Linked DNA regions of Schizosaccharomyces pombe. The gene in region 2 interacts genetically with the main gene of each other region. Each region holds a gene or a part of one and is shown on either strand. Other genes may lie near its edges. The genes, in order: sst6, gad8, hse1 and top1.

Region 1 (7,668 bases), on a different chromosome or scaffold from region 2:
TTTGTATGAAAAAACACCACTGTGAAAAATAATGCTAAAAGCAAAAAGTATTTTAGCAATAAAGTAGGGCCAAGAGTATCCAACAATGGTCTTGCTGCTAAGTGGAGTTAACCATAACAGATACTGAATCTGTTGACACATGTTAGTAATCCAAAATGCGAGAACCAAAACAGTTAAGCAGGCACTAATAACAGTCATTATCCTTTGTGTCTTTCTATCATGTGCACAAATTATACGAACTTGAATCATCATGCTCATCTCAGCAGTAAAAATGATGACCGGTGCAAGCAACAAAATTAAAATATTAAACACATGGACATACATATGAACCATGTTTAAGATAAACCCGTAATTAACCAGGATACTGTAGCTATTGCTGCATATGGTCACTATATTCAAAATGGCCCGAAGACACATTGCAACAATACTTGCCGAATTAAAAACAAAAACTGGGTGTTTTCGTTTTTCGGATGATGACAATAGACAAACCATCAAAATGGTAAGGACTCCTAAAGCAAGTTGGGCAGACAAAGTCATTCCAGTTAAAAGTCTATCTCTTTCATATGCATCAATTGTTGAAACTGGCACTTCAATCTCTCCTACAATAGAGACAATGGTAATATTTTGGTGAATAATTGCGGATGCATCGGGAATAGTAAAGTCTTTCCACCATGGTTGTCTCATAATGTCAGAGGGAGCAAGAACAATATAAACCCGAGATTTTTTTAGTTTAAGAAGTTTAAAAATGTGATTTGTAAAGCACTTGATGACTCAGTTTCCCAATGAACTGTTATGCCAATAATTCCTCTTTGTTTAGAATTTCCAGAAAACACTTCTATGTCTCAAAAGTTAAATTTTCGCTTGAAGATATACAGCAAATTTCCAAATATATGGACTCAAAACACACCAATGGAATGCTGTTCGAACAATTGCAAAATTGTAGTTTAAACAGATTCGAAACAAAAAACAAAAGGATTTACTATTGTTTAGACAGTTCTTAAAAATTATTTTTCATCTTTGTCAGAGATCTAGCTGAATTATATAACATTTTTTGTGGTACTCCATTGTTCAGATTTCCTATTGTTAACTTCATTGTCTAGTACCACACCTGAAACAATAGAAATGGAGGAGGTAATTATTAATCAAAGAGATAAGGAGAAATTAGGTGTAACTAACTTTATTGAAGTATGAAAAGTTTAGAGCGTTGGCGTCAAAAGAGGCTGAAAAACGAGGGTATTTATTTCAAGAAGCTCAGCATGCCTATTCAGCAGGAAACAAGGCTAAAGCGCATGAACTAAGCCAAGAAGGAAAGTTATGTGGAGAGCGTATGGAAAATTATAATCGACAAGGTAATCTCAAATTCTCATTAAAAGCTGTGATTGTTAGTTCAAACCCTATAAACTTTCAATAATAGAAAAACAAACCCATCATGAGATTTTTCTTTCTTTCTTTTCCACTCTTTTTGTTTGGTATCTAATTCCGGTAGTTATCGGTCAGACAATACGCCAAACAATAGTAGTTATGACAATGAACTATTCTTTGTACAAAGTGAAGAGCTCTGAAACAGCTGAATAAAGCCATGTGATTTAAGAGAAAAATGGGTTGGCTTCTTTATAGAACTTAAAACACTGGGTTTCTTCAAACCCATATTGGCTTCGAGAAAACAAAATAGAAGTGTTTTATGACTGTGCTAATTATTGATAGCGGCTTCAGCCATTTATTTATATAAAAACTCTCAATGCAATCCCGATGAAATTGATTTACATGGTCTGTACATCGATGAAGCTGTACAAGCAGTACAACAGCGAATTGAGAATTGCATCCGACGTGGTGACAATCATTTACATATGTATGTTTTACGCTTAATTAAAATTAACTCTTTTTTAGTATAGTTGGGCGCGGTAATCACAGTGCTAATCATGTGGAAAAACTACGACCTGCAATTGTGCGAATGCTTGAGCAGCAATCTATAAAATACAACAGTGAAGTAAATGAAGGCCGCATTTATGTTTATTTACCATCTGCGACTTCACCTATTCAACCAAATTTCAATTGCATTCAAGAACCTCAAGAAGCATATTCTCGTCCTCAACATTCAACTTTGACTGATCAAGTTGAGCCTGAAAAAATTGTTGAAGAAATTGCTACGAATTGTTTTCCTCGTCTAAAAACATGTTGTGCCATCATGTAACAGTTTGTTTTTTGCTTGTTAACACAGGCGACCATGGATACCAAATTGGGTCAACAAAATTTTAGGCGGTGAAATTATTAGCCAGGTGTCTGTGTATTAATCTTTTATTTCGATTCGGTCATTATTGTATTTATTGGGTAATTTAGGCTCTAGATTTTTTTGCTTGTTGCAACCTTAGGATTTTTTTTTTATTTCAAATAAATATTGAAACTTTTTTTAATAGATTATTTTATAGGAATATTTTTTTAATAGGTTTTCTCTGCTTTTTGTAAAAAATTCATTTTTATTATTATTTTAAAGATAATAAATCTAGCATTATATTGCCTACTAAAAGTTTTGTATAATTTAATTTATTTAAATTTTGTTTATTGTTGTTCATTAATTTTAACAACTGATTATATCAATTTCATTAAACGGTTACATAAATTTGAAAATTGTTTACACATAATAATAATAATAAATTTAGGTTCGATAAAATTTCGTAAACAATGACTAGTACATTCAACTGAATTATATATATATATATTTTTTTTTATTATTCTTTAAGCTGATAGAGAGGGTAGTACTAATCGTAAATAGTCAGTACCTCTACTGTACGTAAGCTCGCAATTCTTTGCTCGAATTATTTACCACAAAATTGCCTTGCCTTGACATATATTAAATACAGCTACAATTTTCAAGCTTATTTGCTGAAAATAATTGTCGAATGAATATATTTTAATTTGACAATATTTAAATTGCTTCCGCAATCATGGATGATGAAGTCTATAAACAAAGACTCACAGCTTTGAATAATTTGCGTATTGTCATTTTCTTCGATATTCTTATTATATTGTTAGGCTACATAGGAACTTGGAACTTAAAAACTTTACAATTAGTAAATCCTAGCTTATGGTCATTTTCTCCATCTCTATGGATATACATTAGGTATCTTATTTTATGTCGGAAGGAATTTCTTTCTTCCGGCGTATTTTTTAACTAATTGAGATTCATGAGAATCTTAACATGAAGAAGTTCTAACTATTTCAATCAGGGGAACAGTTCTTTGTGCAGATTGCATATTTACAGCGGGTTCGGCAAACGAATACTCTGCCGTTCAAAATTCTGTGTTCCAAGTTTCCAGCCTTATGTTTTATGGCTTGATGATGGAATTTTTTGGGTATTCTTTTGATGTATGTATTTATTTATTAAATTTTCTGGAGAATTCTTAATTAATGATTGTAGAGAGTTGGTTGCATGGAACTCGCTTTCATAAGCTTTTCCGCTGCTTGCTATTTTAATATAAGGTCAATTAAATCTCTATCTTTAAAAAATAAAAATTGGACAATAATCAGCATAATTGAAATTCCTATCAAACTGCACTTCATACTTAATGTTCTGCTGTTTCTTAAGTTTTCTGAATACATGCTTCCTTTACTTGGCAGAGTACATTTGTCCTATCATTTATTTGCATTATGGGTTATTAATTTGTATATTTGGATTAAGTTGATTGACTCCAAGGATTTTGTACTAGGATTTCTTGCAGGATTATCCGTACTTCTTTTAAATACGGGTTCATTAATTACAGCAAAACCACTTATTTCTTACTTCAATTTATTAACTTCCTGTTTAATTATTTTCCCTAGTATATGGATTTATGCAATTGTAAGCAAAAATTATGTTATCCAATCTAACCTTTCTAGGAAAAGAAAAATTTTAAAAACCTAAGTTATGAGGACGATGATTATCGAAATTACTGGTAATGGAGATATTTTTTACAAAAAAATAAATAAAAGAATAATATTTATCTTGTCCATATATTCCTAAAAATGTCGACACTGAAATTCACATCACTATAATCTTAAGAGTATTGAAGCATTTCGTCCCGTATTAAAAATTGTTGTCTAGCTAACAGCTTTATTCCCTTTAACCAAGATGCGGGCATGATTGATTCATGATGCAAGGCCTGATTCAGGGCTCGAATTCCTTCATCCAGTTTTTCGTCCTTACGTTTAAGTTCATAATATTTTAGTTCTCGTTCGGAGGGTATTATAAATAGTTCTTGAACAGATAAGTCTTTTAAATTGTCCAACTTCTGTAGGGCTTCTCTGGCTTTTCTCCTTCTTTTTCCTAAGATGAATCTATTGTTTTCAATATTTTTAGCAAGTGTTTCTAAAGCGTGTCTTTCTTGATCCAAAAGCCTTTGCTTAACCTCTAAGTTTTTAGATATTCGTATTTGTGAAATCCATTTTTCTTCAATAATTTTGTTCTGTTTATGTAGAATTTGCTGAATTTTCACAGGGTCAACATTGGGCTTAAAGTCTTCTGAATACAGTAGCTCAGACGAACCTTTTAAAGGGGTTTCAATATCTGTATCTATAAGGTTGAGCAAACTTTGGGACTCAATTTTTTTTCCTGTCGAGAACACTGAAACTTGTTGAACGATCTGACCTTTAGAAACTTTGGGTTTTTGCGGTAACAGAGCAGGCTTTGAATATTTGTCTTTAAGTGAAGGCGTGTCTTTGGTAATTATTATCTCATTTTGTTCAGGTTTTGGTGGAATAGGTTTTTGGGCAGGAATGTTAGAACTTGGTCGCCTCAATGAAACAGAATCGTGAACAAGCTGTTGTGATGTAGCTGAAAAAGGTGCTGTATTCAGAGAAAAAAGCGTACTTTGAAAAGAGGAAGAATTGGAATTTGTTTCTTGTCCTAAGGAACTATTAGCGGTAATTTTTAAAGGCTTAGGCGGTAGTTTGGAAGGTAACGCAGGCACCTTTCGGAAATGTTGTTCAGAGGAAGATGAGAATGGTTTAGCAGGGATAACAGGAGGAGCTTCATTTTCTTCTTTCACTTTGAGCTTTTCAATAGTATTAACGAGTTTTGTCGGCAGTTCAGGAGGAGAAGTATGTTCTCTTTCAAAGTCTTGCTTTATTAGAGCTTGAACTAAACGATAGATATTAAAAACAGACCGTTCATTTTTCCAAAGTTGTAGTAGAAGACTTGTGTACTTATGCTTTCCTCCTTTTTCATCCAATAATTGTACTATTGGCGGCTGTGATGGATAATAAGAGCGAACCGTTATACAAGCCGAGGTTAAAATTGTTTTGTCAAATGCTGGAGTACTCAAATAAATGCGGACCTCTTCTATTTTGTTTTCGTCTTGCGTATCTACTTCAATATTAATTGCTTGAAGTGTAAACGTGTCTTCACATTGTTTTCTAAACAATAATTCTAGTTCTTCAGCAAGTCCATTCTTCCAAAATCTAATCTATTTTTCAGGTTAAATTGGTAAAAAAACAAGCGGTACCTTTTCAATTGTATTCAAAATTCGTGAAGGGTGTTCATTGATTGCATGATCTGACATGGTAAAAAGAAACGAGGCGCACTTATGCAAGCACGTGATTAAATCTTATAGGATTTAAAGAAATCAAATAAAGTTAGCTGGTTTTCGAAAACCTATTAATTGCAAGCACCACTTGTGAAATTGATTTTGAACAGATGGTCGTTTTCTTTACGCATTTTATCGTTGTAATAAATAACGTCAATGCTGCATCTCTTTTTTAAATAAACTGTATAATATTACAATATATCGTTATATCAAGCGATAAAACAGGTAACGATACTCAAGATTATTTTCAATTGATGCCATATTAACATTAACGCCAAGTTTATTTTAAGTGCTACATACTCAATTTCTGAAATTGACGATCTGATAGTATATAATATTAGGATATGAATTTATAGACTGATAGGAGCAGTTATGAAAAATTCACAAAGTACCAATACGCTCAGATTTCTTATTCAATATTTTGGAAATGTGTCGTATCCATAAATATAAACTAAGGTAGCAACTATAATTGAGGATCATTGTTCTCACATACGTATTCCACTTCTCTTTTAACACCAGCAATACTACAATTGCAAGACTATTGAAAGGTTAATTACGGCAATAAACCGAGCAGTTTGCATTTTTATTGAAAGAATTATCTGATATTTGTTTATCAATAATGACAATTTGGAACGTAGCTGCATTGACAGGTAGGTTCTAGCACAAGTAATAGACTGGTATATAACCTTTATATACATTTACTTTTTGTTAAACAACCTATTTTACGTTATCTAACAATAAAAAAGGACTGCTCAGCGTAGGTTTAGGTGCATATGGATCTCACGGGTTGCAAAAACGTGTTCAGGATCCACATTTATTGAAGGTAGGATTTATGCATTTTTATTTCATGATTGTAACTATTTTAACATAAAATTATAGTCATGGTCCACTGCTTGTACTTACTTGATGTTCCATTCATTGGCAACCATGGCCGTTTCTTTGCATCCAGTTTACGGGAAATCTCGTTGGACGGGACCCCTGCTGATTACAGGAAGCTGCTTGTTTTCTGGGACAATTTATGGACTTTGTTTATTGCCTAAAGGACATAGTCTGCGACGAATTCTTGGGCCCTTGACACCAATTGGAGGACTAGTGATGCTTACAGGGTGGGCTACAATGCTAGTTTAAGAGAGCTTTAATTTAGATGCTTTTTGTTTTACCAGTACAGACGCAAGTATTAATGATGTCGTTTCTAAAATACTAGCAGATAAAGAATATGTTATGATTTTATTGGGTCCCAAGTAAGCGAACAAAAAAGAGAGAAAGGATATAAGGGGAATACAAGTATTTAAGATGAGTTAACGTGTTTACTTCAAAGTAATCAAATCCTTTTCCAACAAGTAATTGACGATTTTTTCAACACACTCTTCAATCGATTGAGTATGAGAAGAAACCACGATTTCAGGAGAAATGGGAGCCTCATAGGGAGCAGAAATTCCTGTAAATTCTAAAACCGGTTAGCCTTAATTTTATAGGGTCATCTATTTAAAAACATTGAGAAAATGGAATTTCCTGAGGGGAAAAAGTATCTTTAATGTGTAACAATTACCTACCTTTAATCTCACCAGCACGAGCACGCTTGTACAAACCCTTTGGATCACGCTGCTCGGCAACTTCCACTGGACATTCAACATAAACCTCAATAAAAGGAAGTCCATCTTTTTTATGAAATTCGCGTGCTTGATCACGATCCTTGCGATAAGGAGAAATGAAGGAAGTTACTGCAACTACACAGGCATCTGCGAAAAGCTTGGCAACATGACCTATGCGACGAATGTTTTCGTTACGATCTTGTTCACTAAATCCAAGATCACTGTTTAAGCCGAAACGAACATTATCACCATCCAAACGGTAAGTTGTAACTCCACGCTGAAGTAAATACTGTTCCAAAGCACAAGCGATTGTAGACTTTCCAGACGCAGATAATCCAGTCATCCAAATGGTCATACCAGGATGACCCACAAATTTGATACGTTCTTCTTTAGTGACGGAACCAGGGTGAAATGTAATGTTAGTAGCCATCGTAAACAAAAATGTGAAAATCCAATCTTCTAATTAATTGTTGGAAAAATCAAATGGTACGAATTTGAAAAATATTTTACAACTGTTA
Region 2 (8,377 bases):
CTCTGTCTTTATATTTTGTGACTATGTGAAATAGCTAACTCAGTATATTTAGCTAATCGTGTTTTGCCCTCAAAAATTCCTTTGACCCCATTTGTTAAGAGGGATGATGATTCTAGTTCAACTCAGGCAAGTTACTCTACTACTGTGAGCGATGTTGTGATTGTCACCGACAAATCTTGGTCGGATGGTGTAGAAACCATTTTGTAAGTCATGCTTGTCATTTTATGGAAACTATTTGTTTGTGTAAAATTACTAATATTATTTTTAGTCCTTATAGTTACACCGAATATCAACCATCTACTACTTACACTTCTGCACCTGCCGGATCCATTGGATACGCAGCATCCATTCCCAATACAGGGCGCGAATTGATGGAGAGTGGGTCCCCTGTCCGGTTTTCCAAGAGTTCATTATTGATTGTTTCACTCTTGAGCATTGCTGCTTTTGCCGCTTTAGTCCTTTAAAAATTCAACCGGAACCTACCCCCTAACATTCACCTGAAAATTTCTCTTTAGGGATTTTCTAAACTTAGATATAGTTTTTGATTCTACTTTACTCTTTTAAAATTTTTGTTGCTACTTACACTGTCAATTCTATATCTGCGCTCGATAACCGGTTTCTTTTTTTAGGCGCTTTGGCAAACTCGTCTCATCCCTTTAAATAAAACACACAAAGGGAGCTCTCTGTGAGAAAATTCAAAACTCTGAAGAAACATCGCTTTTACTAGTGAGGAGCCTTCTAGAAGTAACTACGAAAAGAATTTGCTTTTCTCATGGGTAAGTAAGGGTTTGCCTACAGTTGAGTGAGTCATCAGTTTCAACAAATTTCGTTCTTTTCATAAATTCATTGTTCATGTTTTATTTCTGTTTTATATGTTATTTTATTTTATTTTATTTGAAAATGTTTTTTGTTTTTCAGTTCTCTTTGGATTTATATACACTTTGAAGGACTTGTACGAAGCGTCCAGTGTATTAAAAGTAGAGCATTGGTATACAAATTGCTTTTCCGTTAAATTGCTTTATCTTTTTTTTTCGCTTGTTGCACAAGGAACTGAAATTTTACAAAACGCATCGTACTTGGAAGTTGCAAAAATCTGATGGAAGGCATAAATAAATGACTTGTTTTGTAAAGAGGATATTGCAATCCTAACGGTGGTATTTACATGCTTCTATAATTATTTTAAAACAAATAAAGTTAATTGGTCTGCTAAGCTACACATACGCGTAAACGGCATTTTGCGTTTGTCCGCAGATAATTGTCAAGATAATTATTTGTATTGTTTTGCTATATACTTCGTTTTGTAAATTGATCCATTTGAGTGCTGTTTCTTGACACGTGTAGTATAAATCCTATGTTTCAATTTAGGTCACTACAAACTTGAGCAAGTTACCACTTACAAGAGTACACCAGCACTTTTAATTTCTCTATATTAATATTCCATCTTTTTGACATTACTAAGTTAACTAATTTAATAGCTGATATGTAAAACACCATTGCAAAGAACTTTTATATATAGTGCAATCGTACGAGAAAAGGGTCTATAATTTTTGATCATTATACGACAAACCTGCGTAATGTGCCGACCGTATCGGTAGCTCTCCTTATAATATTTTATCGAACTCACGTTGTTCTGCCGCAAAAAGCTGCTGTCTTGTACCACTTGTATTTTAGGAATACGGATGATCCGAGCTGGCCACATCTACTGACTGCCAATACGACCTAACAAAGGGAATATCAAACGAAAGCATTTTTGACATCAAATTTTATTTCATTGACTTTAACGTATTTAGTGCTGTCGATTGGTTTCAATTTCGTCAAAATTTCCGCGAGGTGAAGGCGACTTTGCTCAAAGTCGTAATACCAAAATCGGCTTAGAAATCGACTTTATCAACGAAGCATTCCTTTAGTAGGGATTTTGGAATAAAAGAGATTGCGATTTATTTTGAATTTTAAAATCAACACCCTTGCTTACTACTTATCGGGATTAGATTTCTTTGACGAATTTACTACTATACTGACATTACCAAACGCCTGTATCCCCTTTCGTTTATTCAAAAAAAATTGCAACTTGTGCTTACTTTTTATTTTATTTTTTTTTTGGATTTGATTTGATTGTTCGTTCGTATTCGCTTACTGGTACACTTCCCGTTTTTGTCTTCGAATTAGTCCATAAATACGTTTTTTGTTAGATTGAAGCTTTTTTGCAGCCTCGTTACCTTATTCTTTATCATTTTCGTTATATTAAAAGAAAAGATAGAGGGAAAGCGAGCTTTTAAAAATCAGTTCATTTTTTTTTTCTACTCCAAACAGACGTTACCGAAATGTCCTGGAAACTTACAAAGAGTATGTATTCCATAATACGGGTTATCACACTCTGTCTTTCTTTTTCATACTAACAGCTTTTCGCTTTTTAGAATTAAAAGAAACTCATCTAGCATCCGCTATTGGCCTGAACTCTGGCGGCTCTAGTTTTACTAGAGGTCTGAAAAACAGTACTTTATCCTCTACTTCTTCTCGTAAATCAAGTGATGAAAAATCTCGGAAAAGCTCGGAGGATAAACGGTCTCCCCAAAGTACCGTCGTGCAGCCTGGTTTATTGCAGGTCACAATTATAGAAGCTAGAAATTTAAAATTACCGTCGGGACATGTTCCTGCCAACTACGGGGTTTCCATTGACAATTCTTTACTTGCCCCTCCACTTAGTAATGGCTCGGGACACGCAAGGTCTCGTAGTCATGCTTGGTGGTTACCTTATATCGTCGTTGAATTCGACAAAAATGAAATCTTAGTAGATGCTCTAAATACTGCAAGCCTTGAAAATCCTTGCTGGGATTATCAGGCAACTTTTGACGTTTCCCGTTATTCCAAACTCTCCCTGAATATTTACCTTCGTTCTTCATCCAGCCGCTCGCGCAACGGTATGGGGAATGACGCTTTCCTAGGCGGGATTAAACTGTCGCCTTCTTTCATTGTAAACAAGCTTACAGACGAATGGGTACCCCTGCATGGGGGTAGCGGTGAACTTCGTGTTCAAATGCTTTACAAACCCAATCAAAGTACCCCTTTAACCATTGATGCATTTGAACTATTGAAAGTGGTTGGCAAAGGCTCTTTTGGAAAAGTCATGCAAGTGCGTAAGCGTGACACTTCTCGTATCTATGCTTTAAAAACTATGAAAAAAGCCCACATTGTATCTCGCAGTGAAGTAGATCACACATTGGCTGAGAGGACAGTACTTGCTCAAGTTAATAACCCTTTTATTGTTCCATTAAAGTTCTCCTTTCAATCTCCCGGTAAGCTGTATCTTGTCCTGGCCTTTGTTAACGGTGGTGAGTTATTTCATCACTTACAAAGAGAAGGCTGTTTTGATACATATCGTGCCAAATTTTACATTGCTGAACTACTTGTTGCTTTGGAATGTTTGCATGAGTTCAACGTTATTTATCGAGACTTAAAACCGGAAAACATATTATTAGACTACACCGGTCATATTGCTTTGTGTGATTTTGGACTTTGTAAGCTAAACATGGCTAAAACCGATAGAACGAATACTTTTTGTGGCACCCCTGAATACCTCGCTCCTGAATTGCTTTTGGGTCATGGTTATACAAAAGTTGTTGACTGGTGGACTTTAGGTGTGCTACTTTACGAAATGATTACAGGACTTCCTCCTTTTTATGATGAAAATATAAACGAAATGTACCGAAAAATTCTTCAAGATCCCTTGCGATTCCCAGACAACATTGACGAGAAAGCAAAAGATTTATTGAGTGGATTGTTGACCCGCGCTCCAGAGAAGCGGCTGGGTAGTGGAGGGGCGCAAGAAATAAAAAATCACCCTTTCTTTGATGATATCGACTGGAAAAAGTTATGCGCCAAGAAGATACAGCCACCCTTTAAACCAAGCGTTGAATCAGCTATCGATACTAGTAATTTTGATTCTGAATTTACATCGGAAATCCCAATGGATAGTGTTGTTGCCGATTCTCACTTATCTGAAACCGTTCAACAAAGGTTTGCCAATTGGAGCTATCAACGACCAACAACCATTGATACATCCGACGACATTAATACAATAGCACCTGGAAGTGTCATTAGGTGATGAATTTGACACTTCTTTGTTTATTTTGAAAGTTTTCTCATTTTTACTCATACATGCCGCTTTTCTTGCCTCTTTTACATATTTGTATGTTATAAAGGCCAAAGCTTCGTTCATTTCTCATTATTGTCATCTTTTTTTGTCGTACAAGATCATTTTCTATTACTATTATTATTATCATTATTATTATTATTATTACTGACAACCTCAAGTCTTTGAAGATTATTTATTTTTTGTCAGCTGAGAAAAAGTCTCAGATATTGTTGGATGTAGTGTTTTTTGTTCTTGTAGTTTCCGAAATTACTAGTGTAGAAAATTGATGGAAAACTCTTTTTAATTATTAAGCATAAGAACGTAACGGCTATTGAAAAGGGAAAAAAAGACGGAGATGTAATTAAAGGTGAAGGGGTAATTAGTAAAATTACATTTCAAAACGTAAAGGTAATAAACAAGAGTAATATGAAAAAGGTAAAAGAAACCAGTACTTTTAGGTTGGAGCGCCAATCCACCGAGCATTATGGAAGAAGTCGTACACCTGTTCGACTTTATTAGCGTCTAAGTGTTTAAATAAATTAACTGCATCGGTTTTTTGAAATGGTTTTTTGGAAGTCAGTGAAGCCGATATTAAGGCAAATTTTAGAGCCAAAAATGGTTTAGGGAAAATCTGCAGTTTTGAGCAAAGCGCTTGCTCATCCTCTGAAAGCAGTTGCCGATCAGCGGAAGCAGAAAACATTGTGGGAGTCGCTGGTTTTCGAGGAACAATCTTTTGAATGTCACGAACTTGAAAAGGAGCGGAAGTGGTTTGGTTAAACGACTTAACATGCCTCAATTGCTTATCATATGAAGCAGAAGCTTTACTTAAGAGGAATTTTTGCGTTTTATCGCGTTCATATTTATGTCCTTGTTCGAGTGTAGTAAGACCCATCTGTCGCCATTCCTGTAAATCAGAAATTTGTTTTTTTAGGGTTATTTGCTCGTGATAGCTGTTCACGAACTTTTGGTAATCAGGGCCCGTCAAAAGTCGAGCAAATGCTTTTGTTTTATTAAGTAAGTTTCGTTCCTCTTTTGACATGCGCTTCTCATTCGCCTGTAGCCGTCGATAATCTAAAAGGTTGTGATTGAAAATGGTTTGTTTACGAACAGCCCGACGAGTAAGACGGGAATTATATATGTTAAGCATAGTCAGCTTAAGTTGCATTTCATGCTTTGCTGACTCGTGTAAATCGTCATCAAAATTCATATCCTTTATGGGCAGTTCAGCTTCGTTCATGTACTCTTGATCAAATTCAAGACGGCCCGGCATATAGCCTTGGATTTCGTGGCATTGGGGTGTAGATGCTAGAGGCTTTTGAGGAATAATCGGTGGAGGCTGAAAAGCTTCAATACGAGCTCGTTTCCGTGCCGCAAATGCTATGCGATCCACCGGTCCAGGGAGCTCTACGCTTGCTAATGGATAGCAATCCGACTCAATATAGGTTTTCAGATAATGATCCCGACATTCTTCTTTCGTCCGAGCATTTCCCACATAGTCTGCAATGTCAGCCCAGTTTCCAAGGCCCAGTGTTTCACAAGCATCGATTAGTAAGAGTTCCTCATCAGCACCCCAATTTTCGTCGAAAATAGGGTATGAATTGGTTTCAATAATCCTATACGGATGAGACGGATGGTGAGTTCCTAGGGAGGCACCAGATGTAAAGCAGGGGATGCACAAATCGAAGTCAACACATTCTACGCACCGAATATGAATGGATCTTGTTATATCTTGGGCGCAGACGTTGCAATGATACTTTTGAGGAGGCATCCTGCTTCATGTGCAAAATTTTTCGTCCCTATATGGTGGAGCAAAGTGATGATCCGATGCGTAGAATATCAAAGAAGCTTGAGTAAAATGAGAAGTAAAAGTTGGATTTCAAATATGAAAATTAGATCATTAAACTTAGAAAACTCTTTTGAATACGATTTATTAATAATGGTGGCTGAAGTTGAAGTTTTTGACTTTTCAATATCACCACCAGCAATTACTAAATACGATCGAAACGTGATTGCAATCAGAAAATAAGTTAAAATTCATTCACTGAATAGTTATTTTTGTTTAATAAAAAAATCTGTTGCGTTATATATGGTTTCTTTAACCGGAAGACGGCTTCTGTCTGTCGATAAGGTAGAATCAGAAAGAACTAACTCAGAGTATTAAAAAAACAAGAAAAAAGCAATTCCGGCTTATCAAACGAATCGATTCTGTAAAAATATCACAAAGTTGACATTTACTGGATTGAAGGTCTTTTCTTACTGCCGAAGCGAATGTTTATTTCCCTTTCTCATTTTGAAGAGCACCTGCACTGTCTTGTGCTATGCGACTAACAGGTCCAAGGTTTTTCTCTATTTATATAGCTATGATATTATAATTTCAAATACCATGTTGCCTTTTGGAACAGTTTTATTAAAAGCGTTTTATCACAATATATTAGCAGAGAAAACTATAGTAAATTTCTACGAACATTTTCACGGCTAAAAGTCATTGATTTAACATTAACGGAGTTCAATGCTAATGAATATGGCTTTGTTGTCAATTGCTTTATGTTTATATCAATTACAAAAATCAGTAAAATAGATCTTAACAGAGAACTTCTCTGCAATCACGACTTGATGAATAAGAGAATAAACCATAAATATGCTATGTTTAGTTAGCGTATCAAACATAGTGAAACGTAAAGTTTTCTGGACTTTTTATCGTTAATTAGATTAACACAACTCTATAGTGTTTGTGGTAATTGGATCTTAAACTATTTTACATAATGCTTTAGTATTCTTAATAATTATTATATCGCGCTACGATACTTTGTTTTACTTAAATTAGTATTTTGTAATAAACAAGAATATCTTTATTCGATAAACTAATTTGGACTTGAAAGCAGTCACACAGTACAAACTCAAGAATTCAGTGTAGTAAACTCATCACAGGAACAGAAATGGTAAGGCTTTCAATAGAATAGTTAAGAAACCGGTTTGAGGATAGAAATTACTGACAAAACATAGGGTCGTGTACGCACCAAAACTACGAAGAGAGCTTCTCGCGTAGTTATCGAGAAATACTACCCTCGTCTTACATTGGACTTCCAAACCAATAAGAGGATTGTCGATGAGGTTGCTATCATTGCTTCCAAGCGTCTCCGCAACAAGATTGCTGGATACACGACTCATCTTATGAAACGTATCCAACGCGGTCCTGTCCGTGGTATTTCCTTCAAGCTTCAAGAAGAAGAGCGTGAGCGCAAGGATCAATACGTTCCTGAAGTCTCTGAGCTCGAGAAGGACAAGATTAACGTTGATCAAGACACCAAGGATATGCTTAAAGCTCTTGGCTACGACTCTATCCCTACTGTCGTTGTCGCTGCCTCTCGCCCTGAGCGTCCCTTCCGTTACAGACACTAAATAACATTTTAAAAAAAATAAGATGTATGTTCTTTTGAACTGTCACGGTTATTTATTTTTGTGATGCATTTTGTACCATATTGTTGTATTTGTATTCATTTCGATTTGTAGACAGTAAAGTAGGTACGTAAAATCGCTCCTCTAGAAGCTCGGTAGTTAAATTTATTGTACATTTAGTTTAGACGATTTCAATTTTTTCATTTTTGTTTTTACAATCTTACAAATTTACTAAGACCGTTCGTTGTGAATATGATACCTACTGAAGATGAAAGTGCAATGGGCAGAAGTCGTTTAATAAAATAATTAAAATTGGCTGTTGTACAAACGCTCAATATGTTGACTTGACATATTAAGAGAAAAGGAAACTAAACGGTAGAATAATAAAACAATTCAAATTATGATAAACCCTGAGACGTAAATTCAATAAATACTTTTTCTAATAAATTCACTCGACGTCTATACCGGAAACATTTTGTAAGGATTCATAATGATAAAAGTCTTCCGTCTTCAAAGACCTCAAACCGCCTGATTGTATGTCATATTTGATTGCTTCCAAATCATTTCCATGCTTGTCAAAAAGCTCTCTGCGTGGAACTGATAAAGCAGATCTACAGACTTCCTTGATATATGAGCCAGACAGTCCAGCAGTGGCATTAACAACTCCATTCCAATCAAAGTTCGCTTCTAACGGTACCTTTTTTAAATAAAGTTCTAAAATCTTGCGACGCTGTTCGGCATTTGGAAGAGGTATGGAGAATACTTTAGGCATACGACGCCGAATGGCCTCGTCGATGTCAGCTGGTCGATTAGTAGCACCCAAAACAAGAACCCGTGACTGACCACTCA
Region 3 (7,431 bases), on a different chromosome or scaffold from region 2:
ATTGGCTGTAATGTTCATCCATTACAGTGAGTAAGAATTTTGAATTATCCATTCTACTGCATCGTCTTCATAAATAGCCCTTTCATATAGCTGGGTGTTCTTTTTCTTTTTTTCTTTTTTTTTTTTTTTTTTAATGGGCTTAAAAGAAACCCATGGTTTCGTTTCTTCCTTCCAAACCATGGTGATACATAAGCCCTATAATAATGCAATTTTGTATTTCCATCTGTACCCCTTGTTCCAAAAGAGGGTAATTTGGATACTTTAAATAAATGCAACCTATTTCCAGGTCGCTCATTGCAGAGTCTTGGCATGATGCGGTTAAATAAGTTGTACATGATTGAACAGGAATAAAAGAAGAAGATTCACTTTCTCCTTAGATTAATCACCTTGTTATTTTTCTACAAAAGAGTTTTGACTAACAAGATTTTAGGAGGGAAAGGTTGCTTATGGACCTAACTTCAAACTTCATTGCTCCTTTTGTAACGCAGAACTTGGACTCCCAAACAATAAAGATTCGAGTAACGGCGTACGACTTGACAAGTCTAGTATATGTATTGACGATCAAAAAATTCATCCTTCCTTTATAGTTGCTTCGGAAATACTAACTTTGCGTGACATGTATGCCACTCACAAATTTGTCATTGTAGACGGCGAGCGAAGTATATGGACTTGGTGTTTCGTACCACACTTACCAATTTCTTTTCAAAAAAGTCCGTTTTCAAGCATTGAGTTTGCAAACAGTCCAATCTCTACCATAAAATTACTTTATCAACTAGAAGTTCCTCCCGATTTTACTAAAAGCTCCGAGGATTGGATGGACATACCCGTTTCAAGTCACGCCTTTGACGAAATTTCTCATGTTTTGGAAAAAGGAAATCTTTCTTTTCCGGTCTCTGCTCAAAAATTTGGTCCTTGGAAAGTCGGTTTACTGCCGAAATTTCATAAACAAATGATCTAATGTGTCATGTATCCTTTTAAATTTTTAATTGGCAATTATTTCAAAAAGTTAAATACTTTTTAATGTATCCTTTTTGAAAGAGAAATGAACCGTCTATTTTTTTGATATCTAGTTGTTATGCACATAGTATGTATATGTAAATTAATCATTTTTTTTCAATCCATTTGTTTTTGGTTTTGACCGAGCAGAAGCATATACTGCGCTGGATCCAAACACCAACAAAGCCCCAAATTTTACGGCAGGTCCCATTTCGTTTTCAAAGAGAATGAGGCTAAGACATAAACTCACAAATTTTCTGACGTTCAAAACAACACTGACTGTTAGAGCTGATGTTTCTGCCCCTAGCGCGTTTACTCCACGTACACAGAAGTACTGAGCCAACGTATTGAAGCACAAGTACCATACTCCGGAAGGTAAATTTAAAAACCCTTTCGTGTGGATTGCAAATAAATCATTCCACTGACTTCTTATGGGCCTTAAAAGGAACAAAAAGAAAGGAAGGGAAAGAGCATGAGTGTAAAATAAACTTTCACGCCAATCTGAGCCATATATTCTGTAGGTATTCTCCAATACCAATCCCATGATGGCACCAAGTATTTGAGTTATCACCAGAATAGTAAATCCAATGCCAAATCGAGTCATTGATTCTACATGCAAATGTAAGTCCTTCGCATTCCCCAACGTTGCTATTATGACACCAATAGTAAGTATGAAGACACTTCCAATTTGAAGACTTGAGTATCTTTTACCAGCTAAGATTCTGCCAACCGCCATTGTTGTTAAAGGTCCACTACTTCTTAAAATAATATGTACTGGTACTGAAATATCAAACCCCAAGGCCACATTATTCAAAACATTAATAGCAAAGAACATTACTACAACCACAAACCATCGTTTACGCGGCACCTTTGGATGTTTCAATGACTGAACGTCGTTTAGCAAAAAGTATATCAAGCCTTCAATAGTAATCAGTATAAATTGCGAGAACGTAATCAGAATACCACTGCTTGGGAATTCTCGCACGAGTGCTTCAAGCGCATATGCGTTTGAACAGCAACCTCCAAATATGAAAGACAATGCAGATGCTATCATTCTAATGCTTCCTTTGGATAATTATAGTATTTGTGAACCAATGTCAGCTTCTTGGTAATCCTAAAGTTATGGAAAATAAAAGAATCGACTGCTATATTGTAGTATACCAAAATGAACAAAAGGCTTCAACAAATAATGTCTGTTAAAATAAAAGAATGTGTAAAAAAGAATCAGTTAATTCTTATGTAACAAATATGTAAATTGAGGTCGAATTTGGCTTAAGGGAAGTGTAGAGGTGAAGACAATTAGACAATCGCGGGCTTTGCTTTCGCGCGTTTTGGTATTTATTATATTCATACATATTTTTTAGAACGCAATTTTGTAAAAAGGTTTATTCTAGTTATATTTTTATTTTTAAAATAGGATCGATGAGATTCGTTTACACCTTTGTTAAAACTAACAGTCGTGTAACCTTTAATTGAGAAAGTAAATTAAAATAAAAAAAATTGTTTTATTAAAAATATCTCAATAATTATAACCATTAAATAAAAGCATAATAACTAAGCACTTGCTTGCAAAAACATTAACTTGCAAAAAGCTGATGATTAGCTTTAAAAATTCCTCATCTCAGACATTGACTGTTCGTAAAGTTTTTCATAATCACGGCGAGCAACTAAAAGCCTTTCATTCAGATCCATGAGTTCTTCTTTCTGAGATGCGTATTTTTCAATTAATCTTACAAGCTTTGGACGCAGGGCAATCATCGCGTGATATTTTCCTTGAAGAGCATCATCATCGGCAGCATCAGGAGAGGTAGTCGATAAGGTATCAAGTAGTTCATCTATTTGAGGAAGCGCGTCAAAAACTTGCTGCTCCATATGTGCAGATTGACGTTGCTGCTCAATGGTAGGCTCAACGACTCGTTGCACATAATTGACGGGAAAGATTCCAACAGCATTTTTGCAAGAACCTTTCCACCAATCTTTATACACGCTTTCCAGGACTAATATAATATCTCCCTTTTTAAATGAAAGTTCGCCCTGCTCGGTTGCCGCGAAATCATAAAGCGCTCGAACGCGAGAAACTGTCGAAGCAGGAGAAGTAGCTAAGTTTGATTCCTGCCGTTGGTTCGTTTTCTGCAGCGGTTCATCTTTAGTGGATTGGGGGTTTTCCACTTTATTCGATTGCGCGGTCGATTCCGAAAGTGATAATGCTAAAGCATATTGAAGCTCCTCTTCTTCTCTTTTGAGTTCTAATTCATTCATCGCTTCTTTTTCTGGCTTTTTAGGAGCTCGTAAATCAACGATATCTAAGAGGTTAGATCATATTATCTTTAACTTGTCCATTCAAACGTGCATGAAACTTACCTAGCTTTCTAATTTTTTCACAAATATCTTGCATAAGACTCATGTTGGGATCTTTTTTCATTATTTCAGCCCATTCGTTGACAAGAACTGCGATTCTACTACGCACTCGGTTATGAGTTGTAGAGTCACTAGCTATTTTCAAAAGAGAATCCGTGAATGTTCTAGAGGAGATCTCTCGTACAATGGAAGTCTTACAATTTTTCACAATGGCATCAGTAAGCTAAAACAAACGTTAGATAAAGTAAATTTGCGCAATTCATTTTAAAATAGAGTGTATTGATATAAGGAACAATAAACAATTTGTAAAGCACAGACAATAGTATTCTCAGTGGTTCCAGATTGAATAATCATAAATTGATTGCTTCCTCCTCCTCAAAAGTGGTACAAACATACCGTCAAAGCCAACAATTGAATATTAGCATTCGCTGTATCCAGCCTTTTATTTAAAAATTTAATCGAGTTCCGACCACTACCAACCAGTTAGTGAAACGACTCTGATTACGATTAACTTACACATCTCCAGAAGTGCTAGATAGTTGATCGCACGCATCCATTATAACGTCCCATTTCTCTTTAGTATTCTTTTCATCAGTGGCTTGTAAAATAAGGGTCTCAATAGAGTTGGGTTTTCCTCGAAACATATTGGTGAAGAAGAGATGGCGGCGACCACTATGCTTATCCAAGACATATATATAACCTTGTAATAAATCGAGAAATTTTAGATCAATCAAATTGCTACTTGTTCTGTTAAAGGTGAATTTAATAAATTTCTATTTAGATAAATTCAAAAGCATGGTAAAGTGGTTGGTTTATATAGTCAACATTCATGGGTGCTTCTAAAAAAGAACTTGTAGCCGATTTATTATTCTTGGTTCAAAAATACGAGTCAATTTTTAAATATTCAGTAATATTTATACTTTTTGGGTTAAGCTTGGGTTCCTTTTAGAATAAAAAGACAGTTTCACTACCGAGTTGTATTTTCATGCTCAAGCAAACTGTATATTTAAAATACTGCAATACTCTAATCGGTCAAGTGTTTAGATTTTCTAACGAATGATGATGAATATAAAACTATGAAGCAACATTAAACCCTTGTCCTCATATATCAATTTGAGAATTCATTTATATATCTATTAAAACTAGTGTATTATAGTCGCAGCTTGCTGTTACTATATTTATTTCATTATTTTAAATAATATGTAAGCTCACCAAAAAGCATTACATTTCATTTAGCATTGGTTAGCATTCAAGGCTCAAACTAGGTGAATTCAATGTACGATATTTGTCGTCTAGATGATCGGTACAGTCCTTTTACATAGCTCTCTAATATACGAACAAAATACTCATAATTTGATTAATTAGACTTTTATTAAATGAAATCGTTTTTTTCTTTTTATATTCAATTAATTATGTAGTGACCTAGTCTGCTGTCAAATCTCGTACATCCTCTCCATATACCCTTGAGGTAGTTAACTTCTAGTCTAAAAAATTTGTTGATAAAGGTGCATTGCATGTATTCTTCACTACATCAGCTTTGTAATAAAGTCATTTAAGTGTCGGATTTCGAGTTTTTAATTGAAAAAGCTTGAATTTGACATTTACTCAGCAAAATATGGAAAGCAACCTTTCCGCCAAAGGTATTTTTCAACATGCAAGTGCTAATGCATCAGGGGAATTGTTTCAAGAGCCCGTAACAGAAGATCTTGAAAAGGTAATGCAGTCGAAAGGACTGTATTCGATGGAGGAGTTGTGTTCCATCATCCAAGAAGCATATGCTCCGCGAGTTTCGGTCCTATGTTCCCGAGATGCTGACGAGTTTGCCATGAGGAAGGGATATCCTAAGGGGTTTTGGGAATTGTTGTATCCTTTTGGAGACCGTATTCGTGGAAAGGTAAACCGTAGAGGAATGAATGGAGAAATGCTGACGTTGGAAAATTTAAATTTACATTTTGTCCCAATTGATGCTTTAGAAAGCCACTTAAGTGAAGCATCTTTTCCTTCACTTCGCTCGGTTTTATGTGAGCGATATCCAGGTCTTGTTTCACCTGAACCCCCTTCAGATTATTCCTTTGGCGTTCATTATAAAAACGTTGAACGATGGGCTTGGACATTGGCTCATGAAGGGAATTACCAAATGCCACTTCCTGTCTATGTGCGACAGTTACTAACTGGGATACCTATTACTCCTTTTGAAACTTTTTCTCATCCCGTTGCTCACCTTGTCGTAGTAACTTCGCATAATCCTAGTCCTTTTGAATCTCTCAGATCTTTGATTAATTCGATTCCCTACCTTTCCCTTCCTGCTTTCGTTTTCAATGATATAAACTACCTTTTCGTATATGTTCATGATGAAGATCAACATGATTTGGAGCTTTCAATGGCTATATTTGATACGATGAAGCAGACATTTGGAGATTGTGGATACTTTCTTCGCCTTCATTCACAAAAGGCTACCTTAGATTATGAACATACCGTTCCTTTTCCAACATCCTCTTGGTTGTCTGCTGAAGAACGTTTACACCTTTTATCTAATACGGATACTGAAATACGATTACTCTTTGAATCCGACAATGAATCACTGCGACGGTTATCTTCGCACATTGCGTTCAACGGAATTGTCTCTTATTTGGACAAATGCGTAAGAGCATGGGATGATCAATATGCTTCTCCGAGACGAGGGATTACCGGTAAGCTGTTATTTGCATCCAGAAAATATTTATCTAGTTCGAATGCTTCTACCAATTCTAACTATTTCCCCTCATCTAATGCCTATCGTCCATTTTCACCAGAGGCATATCTTAGGAAACTTGCCGACTATTCCTTCATGCTACGAGATTATTCTCATGCAAATCAGATTTATGAAATTGCATCAAGACAGTATGAAAATGATGGTGCTTGCTTATATTCTGCTGCCTCTCTAGAAATGATTGTAATAACTGAACATATTTTACACCTAAAAATGCCATATATGAGTTTGACGAACACATTGAGAATAAACGAGTATATGCAATCTGCTATGTTAAATTATTTGAATAAATCCTTCAATTCCTATTATCATGCTGCGCGCTGTTTCCTTCTCCTGGGACAATTCCTTAGTTGTTTACCAGCTCCAAAAGTGGACGATGCTGCTAACTGGAATGCAGGTTTGCTTTATTCTAAGAGATTGGGTCCTGTAGGAAGAGCAATGATCTTTCAACAAACTCACACTCTCTTTAAATCCCTTTCTTATTTAAAAACTGAATCTACGGACCCGTTCTCTAATAAGCGAACTCGTAAAGCCGCACTTTGGTGTGTATTAACTGCCGATGCTTGGTTGAGATGTCGCATTCCCTTTCGTGCCAAGCCTTTTGTAGAGGAAGCAAAATTGTTTTATGGAAAAATCGATTGGAAGGATTTGAAGGAGTGTGTTGCAGCACTTGACGAAGTCGAAGTCTCCAAACAACCTGCTTCTAATATTCCTTCTAGCTAGAAATGCCCCACTTTCAAAATGTATATTATTTTATTTACCAAATATCAAAATTTCTACAGGTTATTAATGTGATTATATATAGCGAAATAAACTAATAAGTTAATCTGATAATGAAAATTCGTTAAAACGAATCCAACGAAAATTAATGATTAGGACTGTGGTCCATCGGATCCCGTTTGTGAATTGGTAAGGTCAATAGTAAGAGGGGGACTAACTGAAGTGGCAGGAAAACCGTTAGATGTAGAAGGTTCGGTGGAAGATTCAACAGCAGTGTTCCTCAATGAATCATTTTTGTTAGTTGTTGATTGTTTTGCACGGTTGATGAGATCAGCAAAATCCTCAGCGTATGCCTTCTCCCAATCGCCCCCTCCTAGTTTTTCTTTTTCTACTCCAATTGATTTCGACTGAACGCGCTCCCAATCTATAAGTTGGCGAATTAAATTTCTTTTTGAAACAGGTTGTTTCTGGTCTAAATTAGAATTGTAAAGGGTAACCCATTTAGCATGTCGACGTTGTAATAGTTGTTTATGTCCATCGGTTGGAAGCCCCATCTCTGATAATTTGGAACGAATTTTTGATTCGGAAAGGAGTGCATAAGTTAGTTT
Region 4 (8,671 bases), on a different chromosome or scaffold from region 2:
GATGGTGGTCGTGGGTTCGATTCCCACAACAGCCCAAATTTTTATGACTCACTTCATTAGTTGAAAACGCTAAAATACTAATCACATCTTCCATAAGCTGATATATACTCCTGAAAACACTTAAGAGTTACAGAAAAAGGAACTACACGTTCAAAATTTACATATAAATTTAAACACTGATAAAACAGTAAAACTTGTTAAGAGCCTATAAGAGAAAGTGGGGGGAAATTTAAAAAGCGACGTTCCATAAAATGAAAGGTTTACTATACGATAGTGCATTTAAGCACCAGTGGCAGGGAAACCACACATAATCTTGAATGAATCGTAGATGAGCCATTGAGCACCAGTCAAAGTACCAATCATGACTATACGAACACCAAGACCATTCCAAAGACCAGAAAATCCAATCTCCTTGTAGATACGAGCAGCAGCAGCGCCAGCGCCCTCACCAGCCTTTTTGTTGGAATTCAACTTGGAAACCATAACATCAGCAGGATGACTGATAATGGCGCAAAGAACACCGGCCATGTAACCACCAGCAAAAGAAATACCAATCTTTTCGGCCTTTGAATACATGTTCTTGGGCTTGCCAATGTAGGTGTACAAAGCTTCGACAATGCGCTCAAAAGAAGCAAATTTCATCATGGTGTAAGGGATTTGGCGGAACCACAAAGGAGCCAGACCACGGTATAAAGTACCGAAACCTTCATTAGTGACAATTTTAGACCACGCTTCACGAGTGGTGTTGGCAAAACGAGGGTTGGAAGTTTGAACACGGACCTTGATAGCCTCCATAGGGCAAAGCATTATATCAGCCAACAATTCAGCAGAGGCAGAAGCAGCCAAGTAAATGCTTGTACGGTATTCATGTGCCTTTTGAGCACCAACCAAAGTAGAGTATTTGTGTTTGAACAACTCATAAAAACCGTACTTACCGCAGCCTTGAAGAGAATAACCAATCAAGGTGGGCATACCACCGGTATACAGACCGCGAAGTCCCTCCTTGCTGAGGATAGTCTTGAAACCAGCAATATTACCAGGGTAGATATTTGGATTGACTTGTTTGCGACATTTGATTAAATCCAAAGGGGTAATGGCACTGTGCGTAGTACCACAAGCCAACAAACCACCCAATGTACAAAGTCCGTAGTATTGGGGAGTGTAAAGCTGAAGGGTCTTTTTAGGAGGAGCAGGAGGTATCAAGGGGGTAGACATGATGAACTAATAAAGTGGGTATTTTAAAACAAAAAAAATGAAAAATATATCAACTGTTATGTTTCAAGATCCTTGATGACTACAAGCCTTTACAATCACAAGAAAAAAAACTTATCGTGAGTTCAAAGAACAAACCTTCGAGTTTGCGTTATAAACAGTTCTAAAAAATAAAAGAAAAAGAAATCTCCAACTAAGGCTATCTCCTATTGAGAAACTGCTAAAAATGAATATTTAGGAATCCGGTTGAGTAAATGTAGGTACTCGTAGAAGGTAGGATCCAAATGCTAGTGTGTTCATACTTTGTTTTACGTAATTTAATCTTTACCAACCCGATTGTATCCGCTCGTGGTTGCATTGGATTGCTCCAGCAAATAGTGAGACAAAATCTCTTCCACTGATATTTCTGCTATACCGGAACTTGTGCCAATCTGACAAAGAGAACGAAAAAGTGGAAACCGGGTTTAAAGATGCGAAAAAGGCAGTCAAATGTAAACGCTAGAGAAAAAAGTAATTTGGATGGTATAGAAGTGCTTGAAAAACTATTTAGTACAACCAAAGAAGAGTAATTGGTATAAAGATTAAAAAAGCAGCAGCTTGGCTTTTCTTTCCTTTTCTATTTGTAAAAAAAAAAAAACAAAAAAAAAATTGTTTACAAGAGTAAGTTTGCTTGTATATTGAATTTGATGATCGTAACAGGCATTTCACCAATATTAAAGAAAAAGACCTCAAGAGTAAACAGTAATTATGAAAAAAAAAGCCAAATGCAATGGGGATAGTATGAAATGTCACGTTCAATTTGTTTTGTGCTAAATTTTATTCTGTCTATATTTTTGCTGAAAAAACTTCCTTAGCTTTGCATTTTTTGTATGAATTTTTATTAAACACTAAACTAGAAGTAATTAATTCCTTCTTTCAGCACACTAAGTTGTTGTACGCTAGCATTCATTTCAAGACATCATTAAGTCACGAAATTACGAAGCACTTTCACAATTTGTCTGCCGTAGGATGATAATAAATAATTTTTTTTTAAAAAGTTCAATGAAAGATACTTTTCTTAAATCGTAGAGGACTTACCACTTCCAATCCGGAGGTGTATCAGCAGCCCAATTGAACTTGTCACGAATCGTCTTACTAAACAGCTTCTCAATAGGAACGTCTTCTCGCTTGCTGAACGAATAAGTAAGCCTCGGGTCTATGTAGTTAATCTTACTTGTACCCAAAGCAGTAGTTTTATTCTCGTCTTTATCGATCATCTGAGTACGCATAACATTAATTCGTTCATTGAGTTTGTTTAATCTTTTCTCAAGTTGTTCCATCGAAGAACGACCTGGATCGACTTTTTTGCTTTTAAGTTCAGCGTCCAGCGCTTTCTTCAACTCATCAGCCGCTTTCAATCGAACTTCCAATTCAGATTCCGGAAGCACTGATTTGGGATCCTCAGCAGCTAATTTTTCGTTCTCACGATCGAATTTCTTTTTTATTTTCTCTTTTTCTAGTTCGTAAAGTGTCTCGTGATGTTTTACGATCCATGAATCGGTAATGCCTTCTTCTTTAGCCAGCAATTCGGGCTTGCTTTTAGCAAGCTTGGGCTCTAAATTCAGCATCATTTTTCGCAGTCTCATCCGCTGGTATTGTAATGCCTTAATCCTTTCGGCAAACCGTTCCATTTGAACATCGTGATTTTTGGTTACGGAACGTTGATGATTACATAAAATTGCAACAGTCCTATTTGCCCTATTATAAAATAGTATTTTGTCTGCAAGGGTGAGGTTCTTAGGCATTTTCTTAAGTTCCTCGGCCATGGTGTATGAAGCATTGTAGGTACGAAATACTTTAGCTGAAAGTCCATCCATAAGGCTAGTCAGATATTTGTTAAGACTGTTTGTACTGAGACGGTCGAAAATTAAATCACCCTCTTTTTTGGGAGGACGTTTAAAGATCTTTAGATTTTTAAAAACTTGGGGATCAACTTCAACCTCGTTGTAGTAACGAATAGAATCTTTACCAAGAAAATCGAAAACGACTGTTCGTGGTGGCTTCAGTGTAACATGTTCATATCGCAGTGAACAACAACCAACAGTATCCGCCTCGTCTTCACCCTTTTCATTTCCTGCTCTTAAAGCAAAAACATCAATTAAATACATGGCAGTTCCTCTTTGACGCTCAACCGTTAACTCACTTTTCAAATCTTTCCGGTAGCCTTTACGGATATCATCAATATAATCCTTAAGCTTTCTTGACTTTTCGTATTTTTTTAAGTCACTCTGTCCTTTTAGAGAACTTCCTGCAGCTAAAAAGACATATTTGACATTATTATTTATATTTTCATGCCAGGTTGCCAACCAGGTCACTGTATTATCATGCTTTACCTCCGCCCATTGATGCCCAGGGAGTGGTTCTGGAACGGGTACACCTTCACCAATATTAATGGTAATTTGTTCAGGATATACTCGACGCTTTAAAGAACCAGTTTTAGGATGACTACCTCGACCACGAAATAACCCTGGAGGTTCAATACGAAAGTTACCAACCTTCTCCTTTCTCCCATCAAGTATGCACCATTTATATTTTTCCTCTTCCTCATCTTTTTTCTGCTTTATTGCCTTCTTCTGTTCCTTCGGCATACTCTTCTTCTCTTCCCTCTTTTGCTCAAAATGGTGAAACATTTGGGTAAAATCACATTTAGAAAACTCTTTAATGTTGTGATTAAAGTTACATTCATCACAGACCTTTAAGAAGTCACGGAAAAAATTATCTTGGAATACAGGATTTTTGGCATGATCGGTTTCAAGCATTGCAGCATAAAAACCAGCAACTTCTTCTGCTTCGGGAGGAAGATTTACGGGGTTTCCATCGTAAATTAGCTTGACGTTCTTTGGTAAAGGTTCATAGGGTGGAGCAAAAATTACACCATTATGCTCCAATGTAGTCCATTTTTGAGTATCATCGATATTTTCTGAAGTCCACCACTTGTAATCCTCATCTTCATCTTCCTCATCGTTTGGTGAGCGATTTTGCGTGGTCGAAGCTCCCGAAGGCAGTTCTGATTTGTAAGGAGTTAAAGATACAGTCGAAACAGCTCTCAATGGAACTGAATCATCTGTGTCACTTTCCTCTTTTTTAACAGCTGACTTCGCGCCATTTTTACTTCCATTCGCTTTAGAAACACGTTTATGCTTCGGTGAGGGCTTTGCAATTTCATTGAAATCCTCTTCCTCTTTTACAACCGCCGTTTTTTTTCCGTTTTTTAAACCACCATTTCCCATTACTTTAGCTCTTTTTTTAGAGCTTGAATTGGACATATTTTTCTTTGAAGAAGCACGTCTCTTTCTAATCGGTATATCATCCTCATCACTCTCGGATTTGGATTTCTTATTCAACGATTCACTAAGAGGATGATTCTAAACAATTAGTCAACAATCTTTAATTATTATGTTGTGAACATACTTCAGAACTATCACTCTCTTCGTCCGACTCCTTCATACTAATCCGTTTAGATGAACCGCGTCTTTGCCTCCTTCTAATGGATAAAGACACGGAATCTGAATCTTTTCAGTTGTTAAAAATTTTGCAAATGTTGTTAAATTACGTGAAACCTTACCAGACGAAGACATTGTGAATTGTTTGCATACATCTATAATACAGTAAAAGAAGGATTAATATTGAGTACGTACACTCGTTGTCATGACAACCAAATATTGACAATTAATGTTTGTAAAAATTAGTAGCTAAATGAGAAACTGGAATTTTCAAATAAAATAAAATTTAATGTTACGAAGCTTGCAGCAAAAAGCTATAAATGTGCATATTTCAAAATAAACCCATTAACAGTACGAGAAAAGTAATCTCTAATAATTTTGAAAGCTTTAACTTTACATTTATTGTAAACAATACCAAAAGCCACTGAATATCCAAAACAAAAAAAAGGTGATTTGATTGATACAATAAGCCATTAGCTGCCAAATATTGGAGGTTTATTATTTAATATGTAAGCTAATATTTTGGCAGTAAATAGCAAATAGCTTAACAGCATATAGGGAAAGCTTTAATGCCACTTCAAATTCATAAACTACTAAGGACTTAATAAAGTGGGTTAATAAAAAAAACAATAATTAAAATTATGGGATTCTCTTAGTGAAAAAAAATGAGATTAAATATCGTCTTTAGCTGTTGAACAAATTAATGAAACTGGGTGATCATCACTCATTCAAAGATTCAATATTTGGAATAAAAGCTCTTATTAGAGAGCTTCCAGTTACCATTCCCGTAGTCATAAATGTGAATTCATATAAATCTTCTTTTTCTTGCAATAAACGAAATGCAGCCAGCTCTGTGTACGTGCAACCACCGATGAAAAAAACTAAAACACGACGTTTACCTGGTACGTTTGTCTTCAAATTTTTAGGCATGACCTTTTCCTGGTCTAATGTCCACTTGTCAACGTAAGTTCCAGGCATATTTTGCAACTTAAGAATTTTTTCTTCATTGTCTCTGCCTTTTAAAATGTCATATGCTATGTGGACTGACAAAGGACCGTACCCGCTGTACGTATAGGCTATATCTTCAGGATTCTGCTCATCAACTTCGTCCTTAACCAAAGGATAAGTGTTTAACCATGTAGAATAAGACAATGATTTTTGAAGTGAAATATTAGTGGATTGCCGGAGGCGCAATAGTCCTGCATCTATCAAGGCTTGGAATGTTAAAAGGTGATAATAACCATATGTTTGAGTGATTTCCCTACGGTAATGATCTATATCTTTTCTTCTCAAACCATTGGTAGTTATACTTGCAAGGCAAAGTACTCGAAAAACCTCTTCAACAGGTGCTTCGGCATAGATAATTTCATCTAATAAATTGAATTGAGTAAAAGAATCGGCATGAGAAACTAGCAAATGCTGAAGTTGTAGTAGCTTTTGAAAGTAATTATTTTTTGTGTGTTGCACCAAAGTTTCAGCGAGACCAGTGTCTATCTAATTAATAAAATTTTTTATGGAAATCAAAAGAAAAAAATACTTACGAATATTTAATGATGTATGCTCCGATTGTAAGGAACCCAGTTTGGAAACGAAGTCTCTAATCTGATTTACAGTTTTGGCTTGACGTCGACCTTCAAAATCGCTGGATAGTTTTCGAGCAATTTTGCTTAAATAAGGGCCTATGCAATTAAAATTTATGTCTCTAATTTCCTTGGTAATTTGGCTGGAAGAAGAACTTAAAGAAAACTTTTTCATCGGTCCAGTATTTGAAGCTTCATTTCGGTTAACCAAGGATGAAGGAAGTTTGACATTCACTAATCAGTTAGATAAATAATAAACAAATATGAATCATACTTTGCTGAATTCCAAGTATTTCGTCCAAAAATCCAAAGTAGGTAAGTTGAGTCAAAAACGGTGTAATACGATCTAATGATCGATCAACTAAAAGAACGCTATCGTAGAGAGCAGAAATCTCTCCTTCCACCTTCCCAAAGTTTATTGTTGCTTCTTCCTGGTATGTTTTTTCTAATAATTCCAACATTTTTGCAGCATAGGGGCCCCTCCCAGAGACTCGAGGAAACCGTCCATGAGTGCGTTCAAAATCAATTAAAGCATCTGTACTTCGTTGAAGTAAGCTTTCTTCCAATTTCTCTGGACCAAGTTCTAATGACAAAAGGTCCTTGTCCAAGGGTACGGCATGTAACGGCCATTCAGTCACAAGTAATTCTCCAAACACACCCTCCTCTTGCAGTACCGTCTCAAAGAGGATATTTGAGGTAGGCAAAACAATTACTGTGCTCTCAATGCGTAACATATCCCTTTGAAATTGACGAACATGAGTAGCAACTAGTTTGGCATTTTCATAAGTTGGTCTGCACAAGTAGATTGTCTTTTTCTCAATATCATTTGGAATATTTTCATTAAACCAATAAACCTGAGGTATTCCATGTTCTTGTAAAGTATTGGTAGTAACTATTTGACCTAAAATTCCTGACAGATCACGTTCCAAGAGCAAACTTTTTTTCCCAGTAACCTTTAACACATTATCATTAGCATGTCACTTTTCAAATCCACATACACTGTCTATTAAATCTAACAACTTAAATGTAGCTTTTTCTTTAACGTCTGTAGTCATCAAGCCATGAATTGAGTCCACCAACTCTTTAGGACGTCTGCAGTTAAATGGAGGTAGAGGGAAACACTAGAATGACACTTGATTTCACAAAGCAAAACCCTTAGATGTTAATATTACACAACGTAAATAAAATAGAAAAGAACGGAATGATTTTTCCAACAGTTATTGTTAACTTTAAAAGGTATTGCGACTTTAAAACATGTATAGTGAATTAAGAGCTTCTTGACATGCATCGCAATTGTATTTCACTAACAATACTTAATAAAATAAAAACTACTTTATTGATAAAATTAGGAAAATTTTTCATTTCGTTTTTAAGCTAAAAGGTTTTATAGTTTCAAACAAACTAGTTTCTTTTAATTTGCTATTTAAACTTGTTGACAAGGCAAACTGAAAGTAATGTTACAGCACCTAAGTTAGCAAAATCTATTTATTATTCCGTAACTATAGTGTGTGTTGAGTTATCTTGTTTAATTATTGAAGGAATTAACGATTACTACGATGTCATTTGAATAATGTAAAAAATTGTTTCGCCGAGATTTAGTTTTTCTGTAGCATCAGTAAGGTTATCAATGATTGCAAGATTTGTTCATGAACCATAGAGTTTAAAAAAAAAACAATTGAATTGTTTCGTTAACATGTATGTTTTTTGCGCTTGGTGAAAGCTGGCCAAAACACTGTTTTTAATGGTAACGTATATATAACAGAAGAGCTTATACCTCCCACTTGATGTATAGCTTGAGATAAGTAACGAAAACATTATAGCACACTTAATTTTAGCAGTAAATAGTCATATTACTGGAAATCTCATGCAGGAAATTTAGCGCGATCAGCCAGTCGGCTTTCAGGCAACAGAAAATCATCCATACCCATAGATCGCCAAGCGCCGGATGAGTCTATATCGAGCAAATCCAGCAGCACTCATTGTGCTAGATAGACCGTGGAAATGACCAGCAAACACATCTGATTTTATCGAGTATTCTCACCGTTCGTTATAATTCTTAGCGGATTCGTACTCTTTGTATTCATCGCAAAGAGCAAAGAGACCCTGACAGTAAAACCAAAGAAGAGTATAGAAAGAACGAGGCCGTCTATTACAGGTCCATGTTACTAAGGATTACAGATCGTAATATGCTAAAACGTGAGACAACATATATTTCTTCCAATGATCACCTTATACGATTAAATAAAATAGAATATAAATGACCGATCGTCAACAATAGGTTTTTTCATAACGTCCTAGGCGAGGAAACACCAGTTCCTGTTCGATCATTTGCAGCTAAATGCTCCAAGGCCTCATAAATACTATGGTTGGAGACCTAAGGAATCCAGTATTCTGCAT

Evidence for each region.
Region 1: of gad8 (region 2) and sst6, changing one suppresses a phenotype caused by changing the other (phenotypic suppression), as found in Schizosaccharomyces pombe (one study listed by BioGRID).
Region 3: of gad8 (region 2) and hse1, changing one suppresses a phenotype caused by changing the other (phenotypic suppression), as found in Schizosaccharomyces pombe (one study listed by BioGRID).
Region 4: of gad8 (region 2) and top1, a mutation in one rescues a mutant of the other (synthetic rescue), as found in Schizosaccharomyces pombe (one study listed by BioGRID).

What each region holds. Positions count from the first base shown.
Region 1 is NC_003424.3:4,773,704-4,781,371, reverse strand, and holds sst6 (ESCRT I complex subunit Vps23), read right to left. Parts: upstream 5,684-7,668; 5' UTR 5,535-5,683; coding exon 5,478-5,534; exon of another isoform or gene 5,439-5,477; coding exon 4,032-5,438; 3' UTR 3,934-4,031; downstream 1-3,933. Other genes in the region: pheromone p-factor receptor Mam2, read right to left, coding at 1-684; SPOM_SPAC11H11.03C (uncharacterized protein), read left to right, coding at 1,123-1,131, 1,187-1,349, 1,705-1,849, 1,888-2,191; protein mug162, read left to right, coding at 2,943-3,118, 3,225-3,363, 3,416-3,835, 3,874-3,933; SPOM_SPAC1782.12C (uncharacterized protein), read left to right, coding at 6,178-6,208, 6,305-6,381, 6,438-6,686; met14 (adenylyl-sulfate kinase), read right to left, coding at 6,866-7,005, 7,112-7,580. UniProt on the Schizosaccharomyces pombe protein: Component of the ESCRT-I complex, a regulator of vesicular trafficking process. Binds to ubiquitinated cargo proteins and is required for the sorting of endocytic ubiquitinated cargos into multivesicular bodies (MVBs).
Region 2 is NC_003421.2:910,796-919,172, forward strand, and holds gad8 (serine/threonine protein kinase (AGC family) Gad8), read left to right. Parts: upstream 1-1,704; 5' UTR 1,705-2,321; coding exon 2,322-2,343; intron 2,344-2,414; coding exon 2,415-4,102; 3' UTR 4,103-4,443; downstream 4,444-8,377. Other genes in the region: SPOM_SPCC24B10.06 (uncharacterized protein), read left to right, coding at 53-203, 269-464; SAGA complex subunit Ada2, read right to left, coding at 4,587-5,900; rps1702 (40S ribosomal protein eS17), read left to right, coding at 7,069-7,071, 7,136-7,531; yta4 (ATPase Msp1), read right to left, coding at 7,977-8,377. UniProt on the Schizosaccharomyces pombe protein: Involved in a signaling module for sexual development and cell growth under stressed conditions. Required for G1 arrest under nitrogen starvation and for growth at high temperature and osmolarity.
Region 3 is NC_003423.3:1,070,966-1,078,396, reverse strand, and holds hse1 (ESCRT-0 subunit protein HSE1), read right to left. Parts: upstream 4,019-7,431; 5' UTR 3,999-4,018; coding exon 3,871-3,998; exon of another isoform or gene 3,827-3,870; coding exon 3,751-3,826; intron 3,578-3,750; coding exon 3,358-3,577; intron 3,300-3,357; coding exon 2,602-3,299; 3' UTR 2,444-2,601; downstream 1-2,443. Other genes in the region: ipa1 (mRNA processing protein), read left to right, coding at 431-958; yea4 (NST UDP-N-acetylglucosamine transporter), read right to left, coding at 1,100-2,050; TRAPP III complex subunit Trs8502, read left to right, coding at 4,970-6,826; rhp18 (postreplication repair E3 ubiquitin-protein ligase), read right to left, coding at 6,976-7,431. UniProt on the Schizosaccharomyces pombe protein: Component of the ESCRT-0 complex which is the sorting receptor for ubiquitinated cargo proteins at the multivesicular body (MVB).
Region 4 is NC_003423.3:2,939,752-2,948,422, forward strand, and holds top1 (DNA topoisomerase I), read right to left. Parts: upstream 4,846-8,671; 5' UTR 4,830-4,845; coding exon 4,817-4,829; exon of another isoform or gene 4,764-4,816; coding exon 4,663-4,763; exon of another isoform or gene 4,617-4,662; coding exon 2,286-4,616; 3' UTR 1,983-2,285; downstream 1-1,982. Other genes in the region: SPOM_SPBC1703.13C (inorganic phosphate transporter), read right to left, coding at 280-1,215; HOPS/CORVET complex subunit, vacuolar sorting protein Vps33, read right to left, coding at 5,415-6,184, 6,236-6,508, 6,549-7,227, 7,273-7,329. UniProt on the Schizosaccharomyces pombe protein: Releases the supercoiling and torsional tension of DNA introduced during the DNA replication and transcription by transiently cleaving and rejoining one strand of the DNA duplex.